Linked DNA regions of Daphnia pulex. The protein of the gene in region 1 purifies or fractionates together with the protein of each later gene. This does not show direct contact. Links are inferred from orthologs where the notes say so. Each region holds a gene or a part of one and is shown in the gene's direction. Other genes may lie near its edges. The genes, in order: SUMO-conjugating enzyme UBC9-B and GTP-binding nuclear protein Ran.

The links.
Region 2: the proteins of SUMO-conjugating enzyme UBC9-B (region 1) and GTP-binding nuclear protein Ran purify together in Homo sapiens (affinity purification with mass spectrometry; 3 studies listed by BioGRID and IntAct, counting the BioPlex papers as one, with this or other methods). This does not show direct contact. The link is inferred for Daphnia pulex from reciprocal best matches to the Homo sapiens genes UBE2I and RAN.

The regions. Positions count from the first base shown.
Region 1 is NC_060018.1:632,497-635,897, forward strand, and holds SUMO-conjugating enzyme UBC9-B, read left to right. Parts: upstream 1-1,398; 5' UTR 1,399-1,551; exon of another isoform or gene 1,552-1,645; 5' UTR 1,646-1,654; coding exon 1,655-1,720; intron 1,721-1,795; coding exon 1,796-1,879; intron 1,880-1,992; coding exon 1,993-2,110; intron 2,111-2,172; coding exon 2,173-2,317; intron 2,318-2,387; coding exon 2,388-2,466; 3' UTR 2,467-2,626; downstream 2,627-3,401. Other genes in the region: receptor-type guanylate cyclase Gyc76C-like, read right to left, coding at 3,066-3,401. UniProt on the Homo sapiens protein: Accepts the ubiquitin-like proteins SUMO1, SUMO2, SUMO3, SUMO4 and SUMO1P1/SUMO5 from the UBLE1A-UBLE1B E1 complex and catalyzes their covalent attachment to other proteins with the help of an E3 ligase such as RANBP2, CBX4 and ZNF451.
Region 2 is NC_060020.1:1,358,876-1,362,339, forward strand, and holds GTP-binding nuclear protein Ran, read left to right. Parts: upstream 1-1,200; 5' UTR 1,201-1,353; exon of another isoform or gene 1,354-1,410; intron 1,411-1,538; exon of another isoform or gene 1,539-1,636; intron 1,637-1,767; 5' UTR 1,768-1,780; coding exon 1,781-2,023; intron 2,024-2,081; coding exon 2,082-2,270; intron 2,271-2,329; coding exon 2,330-2,545; 3' UTR 2,546-2,682; downstream 2,683-3,464. Other genes in the region: uncharacterized protein LOC124192239, read left to right, coding at 1-369; NFATC2-interacting protein-like, read right to left, coding at 2,768-3,042, 3,196-3,340, 3,409-3,464. UniProt on the Homo sapiens protein: GTPase involved in nucleocytoplasmic transport, participating both to the import and the export from the nucleus of proteins and RNAs. Switches between a cytoplasmic GDP- and a nuclear GTP-bound state by nucleotide exchange and GTP hydrolysis.

The DNA.
Region 1 (3,401 bases):
TGGCTACAACGATTGATGTTTGTTGTTGGTCGTCCTTTCTGTAGTCTGAAATCCCAATCTTAGATGTCTGTTACATTGGCTACAGGAATATAAACGTTTGTCACAAAATTTACATTTCAATTTTTTATTATCAGCTCATTTTAAATCAACATTTTGATCTTTAATTTATTGATAAAATATCATTATCATAAAGAAATTTACTTTCCACATACCTGCTCACTTTGGTGACAGTAATCTCCTTTCATGCAACGCCATATATTTGCATTCAAACGTGCGAATATGTGAAGGGAACACGAAGCTTTCAAGACGCGATTCCCCAGTACTCATTGGTTACGCCTAATAATAAAATTATAGTTAGTAATCTGAAATAAAACATTTACAATTATGCTCTATAATATGATTGACATTTCTCTGTAACAGCCAATACTGACGAGGAGTTATATTCAAAAGATTTTTTTAGATATGGACATTATTCTATTACTTGACAGTTAACTTTCTCAGAAGCATCTTCCTGAGCCCTTCAGGAGTCATTTGTTATTCAGTGCAATGGTAAAAATAAAGACAGACTCACAACAATATTACATAGCACACTACGTTTCCAAGCAAGAAATTAGTTTAAAAACTGGCACATGTAATAATCTTTGAACTATACAAAATAGTGATTCAAGCACTATTGTTTTGTGAAATCACCAATACATCATATCTAATGAGTATTTAACAGGATATTTTCCGCTTTGAGATACCCAAGTATGTTTCATTCCCTTCCACTTTGGCACTAACACATTCAACCCTTCTATGCGAGAAGTACCTAGCTGAAACAACCATAATAGGGAATAACAGATCTTCATTTAATAAATTTAGAGTTTGTGACCTAATATGACAAATTAACTGATGTTTTCATACCTTTCTGAACATTCTATATCAATTTTGTAGTTTCCCCATCCACAAAGTTAAACTGAACTGAGGCTTTAGGATTAGAGATTATATCATTCTTAATTCATTCGAGACATGGTTGTTTGCACCTTTTTTCGTTTTGTCTTCGTGTGATACCTTTGTGGTTTGTCACTAGTTGATTCACGTGTTCGAATATTCTGGAAGCATTACGTAAACGACGCTTGGCTTGTCTCGAATGTTGAACGATCAAAGCTACATGAGATGGAAGATATCAATGATTTTTTTTAACACTTGATTTTTCAATTTGGAATTTAAACAAAATACAAGAACTTAAGATGCATGCCTGTGTGACTCACTGCTCTGTTGTTTTTTGAACCATCTGGGCGCCATCTTTCATAGGCAGTGGCAGCATAGCCAGTTCATTTTTAATTTTAGTTGATGAAAACTAAAACTAAAAATGCTTATGCATGCTACAGCCAAAATGGTTTGATTTCATTGAAATCCATATTTTACATGCAAATGTTTCATCATTTATTCGTTTAAATCCCCAAATTAAATTTTAAATTGATTTGTAATTATTCGAATTACCTTAAGGCAACCCTGGCAATAATTGTACGAAACTACACAGCTAAATTATTTGGCAGCCGTTGAAAAAAGGTAACTATTATTTATTTAAGAGCTGTTGCATCTTGCTTTCTTCAGTCATATTCACACTTTCTTATTACATCACACTGAAATTTTTATTCTCTAGTGACCAATAATGTCCGGTATTGCTATTGCTCGACTTTCTGAGGAACGTAAAGGCTGGAGGAAAGACCATCCCTTTGTAAGTTGCTGGTTTGCCAAACGATAGTTGTTGGGTTGTGTGTGTTTGATTTGTGTATCTTTGCGTTGCCTTTAGGGTTTTGTTGCCAGGCCCACAAAGAATCCTGATGGAACCCTCAATTTGATGAACTGGGAATGTGCTATTCCAGGCAAGAAATCGGTAATGAGTTTTACACTTAAAGATCTTACTTCACATTGGTGTCAGATATACTTACCAAATTCACTGTTGTTTGAAGTAACAATATTAAGTGTAACTTGTGCATACATTTACAGACTCCCTGGGAAAATGGATTGTACAAAATCCGTATGATTTTTAAAGATGACTACCCCTCTTCTCCTCCAAAATGCAAATTTGAGCCCCCACTTTTCCATCCAAACGTCTATCCATCAGGTTGAATCAAATGGCTATTTGAGTGTTTTGTTTTAGCTAACCTTTTGGCATTTAATATCCAGGCACAGTTTGTCTATCATTGTTGGATGAAGAAAAGGACTGGAGACCTGCAATTACCATCAAACAGATTTTGCTTGGAATTCAAGATCTCCTAAATGACCCCAATATTAAGGATCCGGCTCAGGCAGAAGCTTATACTATCTACTGGTAATGATTTTTACACCAGTAGACAACTTGAAAGTTTGGATTGTAATATTTCATTTGATTATTTCTCCAGTCAAAATCGAATGGAGTACGAAAAACGTGTTAGAGCACAAGCCAAGGCTATGGCTGCCACCACTGATTTGCTGTCTTAATTTCCCAAGTAAATCCAGCTGTCAAGGAATAAGTTAACTTCTTTTTCTTTTCCACGTGCTCTATTTGTTTTTTAAAAATTCTTATTGTCTTCATTTCAATACTTACTTATCGTCCAGAAAACATACTCCGATCTGAAATAAAACGCTAAGTAAGGTGTAACACTTGTTGACCTTTTTTTTTTTCAATTACGTCACTTGACTATTTTATTTGGTTGTGACCTACTTTGTTGATATGCGTTTTATCTGGCGAATATCTGATTATGAAGACCAAACTTCTTTTAACTACTAGAATTCATCAAAGGCTCTCTTACCTGATTAAAATTTGAACTAAATGGGTTATCGATGTACAAAGTGCAAAACAAGGTATGTAAAACAACAACCGATTTATCACAATATTTTCAGCAGCGACAATATTACAGATACACTAAAATCAAAGAAAACATTCCGACTTGAAATCGATTAAAAATCTTAACCGAGAAGAATCGGAGATCGGGTATGGCATTTTCAAATGGCGAAATATACGAATCACGAAACAAGTAAAGCAAATTTGTCATCATGTAAAAAGACTGTGGAGGATGCAAGAATAAGGAGGCGCAATTTCACACAACGCTTTCTCTGTCATCACGGTGGAGGTCGGAAAAGTCCTCTCCCGTCTGCGGATTCCGACTAAAAGCATCACCTCCGTGACCCACGCCGAACAGATTGACTATCCACCGCTTGACGTTGGGCACGCTCTTGCTAACAGTGGGGGCGATGACCGTGTCTTTGCCTTCTTTACCGAGTCTCTCGCCCGATGTCGAATGTTCCAGTTGTTCACAAGAGTATCTCTTTTCAGACTCCATCAATCCACAGGCTGTGAGACTGGGCCGATGCCGAGTGCGATCGCGACTGAGCAGAGTCTCGGAATTGACGTCAATCCCTTCGTCGTCGTTTTG
Region 2 (3,464 bases), on another chromosome or scaffold:
CTTCCCTTCGCACCTTCACATTTGGAATCACCACAAGAAGCTACTACAAAAGTCCCATTGAGTCGTCCTTCTACATCTTCGGTACCAAAGTCAAAAGTTGACATAGACGTGGATGAAGAAGGTAATTTATTCGCCACCATTCGTCTGATTGCCCCATCGCCTTCCATCACATCAAACAAACTTAAGGCATCAAAGAATGTTAACTGCAAAAACAAGAGGACTAGTAATCACTTTGGGCACTCTGGAAAAAATCCATCATCAAGGTTAAGCACAAAAAAAGAAACAAGAGCCAAAAAAGAGGACCCATTTTCTGTCAAGAGTCTGATGGCAAAGTTCATTGAAGCTGCAAAAAATAAAAAAATCTCCTAACTTTGATAACTATATATGATAAAACTTGGAGTTCCATGTTTATTTCAGATTATTTTAGTTTATTTTTATGTGTGCATGATTAGTTCGCCAATGTGGAATGTGATGACTACTGAAACCCCCTATCCCCATATTCCCCTTTGTCTTGCGTTTTTTGTTTGGATCCTCGTTCAAGTAGTCAGTTTCGCGTTGAGTTACAAACGAACCGGTATCGCATCAAAATGTTCGTCATAGCTTTATCTCCCAAGATTTTATACACTGTGATGAAACCTTCCGAAAATTATTTTGTAATAGTTCATTGATATTTTGTTTGTAAAACAAAACTCGCCATTATTTTTTGTAACCCAGAAATTCATCGTATCAATAAATACAGATGCTTGTATGAATGATCGCCTCCGTTGTTATTTTTCTTCGAACGGTTGATTTTATAACATACAATGAAATAATGACTAACAAAAAAAACAGCAATCATAACTTTGACAGAAATATTCATCATGCTGCTACCACGTCTTTTAATGTCCTATTAATTAATTTATATACAGTGATGCTTATAGGAATTTCTTTCTTCTTTTAAAAGGTAATTTCATTTGAATTAAGTGCTACTATCCTTTTTATTAACACATTTAGCATTTTAATCTCACACAAAATAAATATATTGTTGATTAAAAAATTAAAAAACATCATCCCGTTAATAGGCCTGAATGAAATTCAACATTAATAAATTACATTCAAAGCTTTAGACAGGCTTTAGAGAAATAGAGAGCTACAGCCCTGCTACAGCCTACTTTCCATTTTCAAATTCCAACCGTCTTTTTTTCAAAGAAAAGGAAAATATTCCCGCCGTTTCTCCTAGTGAAATTTGGCAACATCTCGCTAGGAATTTTTTAGAGCCACCCATTTTCAGCCAGCCTTTACGCTACCAGAATTTTTAGAGACCAGTTTGGTATTAGAACCGCGCGATTGTGAACCTAAAGCTTAAAACCGCCGGTGAGTTAGATTTATCTTCGAATATTGTCCACATCCTTCATCTTTTCGTTGTTTTAAGTAAGCAGTAATGTTTCTTTTGCCAATCTCTTTTTAATTCGGCATGGAAAGTATTTTAGTCATCATAGTTATTTTATTCTGCATTTTTCAAGTTGTAACCTCTAACAGTCATCTTCCTCCATCAAAGACAACGCACTAAGCTAGTCAGTGGCGGTAAAACTGTTCTGTGGTAGTTGTTTGAAATAGTCCCTTTTTTCTCTTGACATTAAACATTGACAGTTAACTTGTAAGTGTTCACGAGTGTGTAAATTTTTAGAAAAATATATTTTGTTGTCGTTAGATTAAGTTCCAGTAAATTCTTGTTGAATGACGCAATCAAGTCTGATCGATTCACTTATCTTTTCTCATTATTTGTAGGATTTACAACAGAATGGCTGCCGAACCTGACATGCCCACTTTCAAGCTGGTCTTGGTTGGCGATGGTGGTACCGGAAAAACCACTTTCGTTAAGCGTCACTTGACTGGTGAATTTGAAAAGAAGTATGTGGCCACACTTGGTGTGGAAGTTCACCCTTTGGTTTTCCATACAAACCGTGGAGCCATCAGATTCAACGTGTGGGACACTGCTGGTCAGGAGAAGTTTGGAGGTCTCAGAGATGGATATTACATTCAGGTAAATGTCAGCATACTTGTATTCACATGGTCTCGACTGACTTTCATTTATCTTGCAGGGCCAATGTGCTATCATCATGTTTGATGTAACCTCTCGTGTCACCTACAAAAATGTTCCAAATTGGCACAGAGATTTGGTCCGAGTTTGTGAAAACATCCCAATTGTTCTTTGTGGCAACAAAGTTGACATTAAAGATCGTAAAGTCAAGGCCAAATCCATTGTCTTTCACAGAAAGAAGAATCTCCAGGTATGTTAATTGTGCTACTAAATTGTAAATGCAATTTGCTAAATTTTGGTTTCATTTAGTACTATGACATTAGTGCCAAGTCAAACTACAACTTTGAAAAGCCTTTCCTCTGGCTAGCACGTAAGCTAATTGGAGACCCTAACCTAGAGTTTGTTGCTATGCCTGCTCTGCAGCCACCTGAGGTGCAGATGGATCCTAATTGGCAGAAGCAAATTGAAGGTGAATTGGAGGAAGCTCAACACATTGCACTACCAGAAGATGATGAAGACTTGTAACATCAACATATTAGGATTTAAGCCACTACACCCTCCCACAAATTTTTCCATCTGTGTTTTCTGCCTTCTATCTTAACCAATTTTTATTTGCGAGGTATGAAAATACATTGTGCGTCATAATACAAAAGTCTTTCGAATTTTTGTTTATTAGTGCATAATTTATTTGCGCAAGGGAAAATATACAAAGTAGTAAAGTTAAGAAAAATGTAGTGAACAAATAAACTACTCTCTAATGAAAACATCGATACACTCGCCACCTTCAAATTCCAGACTAGACGGTGTGTCATCTTCTTCCAACATTTCGCCGTCAAATTTAAACTTCAATTTGGACAAATCAATCCCGGTTGCTTCCGCATACTTCTGCATCAAAACTGCCATAGGGTCTTCGGGGCGCATTGATATAACCACTTGTGCATTCCGGTTCTGACTCTGAACCTTTAACTCCAACAATGTTTCGTTGGAGCTGACGACAACTCCTTCTTTGCAGACTGAAGCATCTGTTAAAAAAAAGCACTGTTACAACGTTCGCTAATACCAAACCCAATCGTCCAAAGTTTTTACATTGGAAAACCAATTGACTTCATGCCAGGGTTGCTAAAACCGATTTATGACGCTGAAATGGACTGTAATTTGAATGACAAGTAACATACCAATGATGTCTGATATCCCAAGTGGCACTGTTTTGAGACTGTCATAGTCATTCAGTAGTTGATCATTGAAATATAGAATTATTTGTCCAGCATCCACATCAGTGATCTCTGATAATTTCTGGCAGATGGTTTTGAAATAATCAGCCTGAATAATAGTAATAATAGTAAAAATGTAGTGGACTAGTTATTGATATGTTGGATGTTGAAGGTTACCCTTTTGATTTCTATCCTCCACACTTTTTGGGCAATGAAGCGAACTTTAACTACCA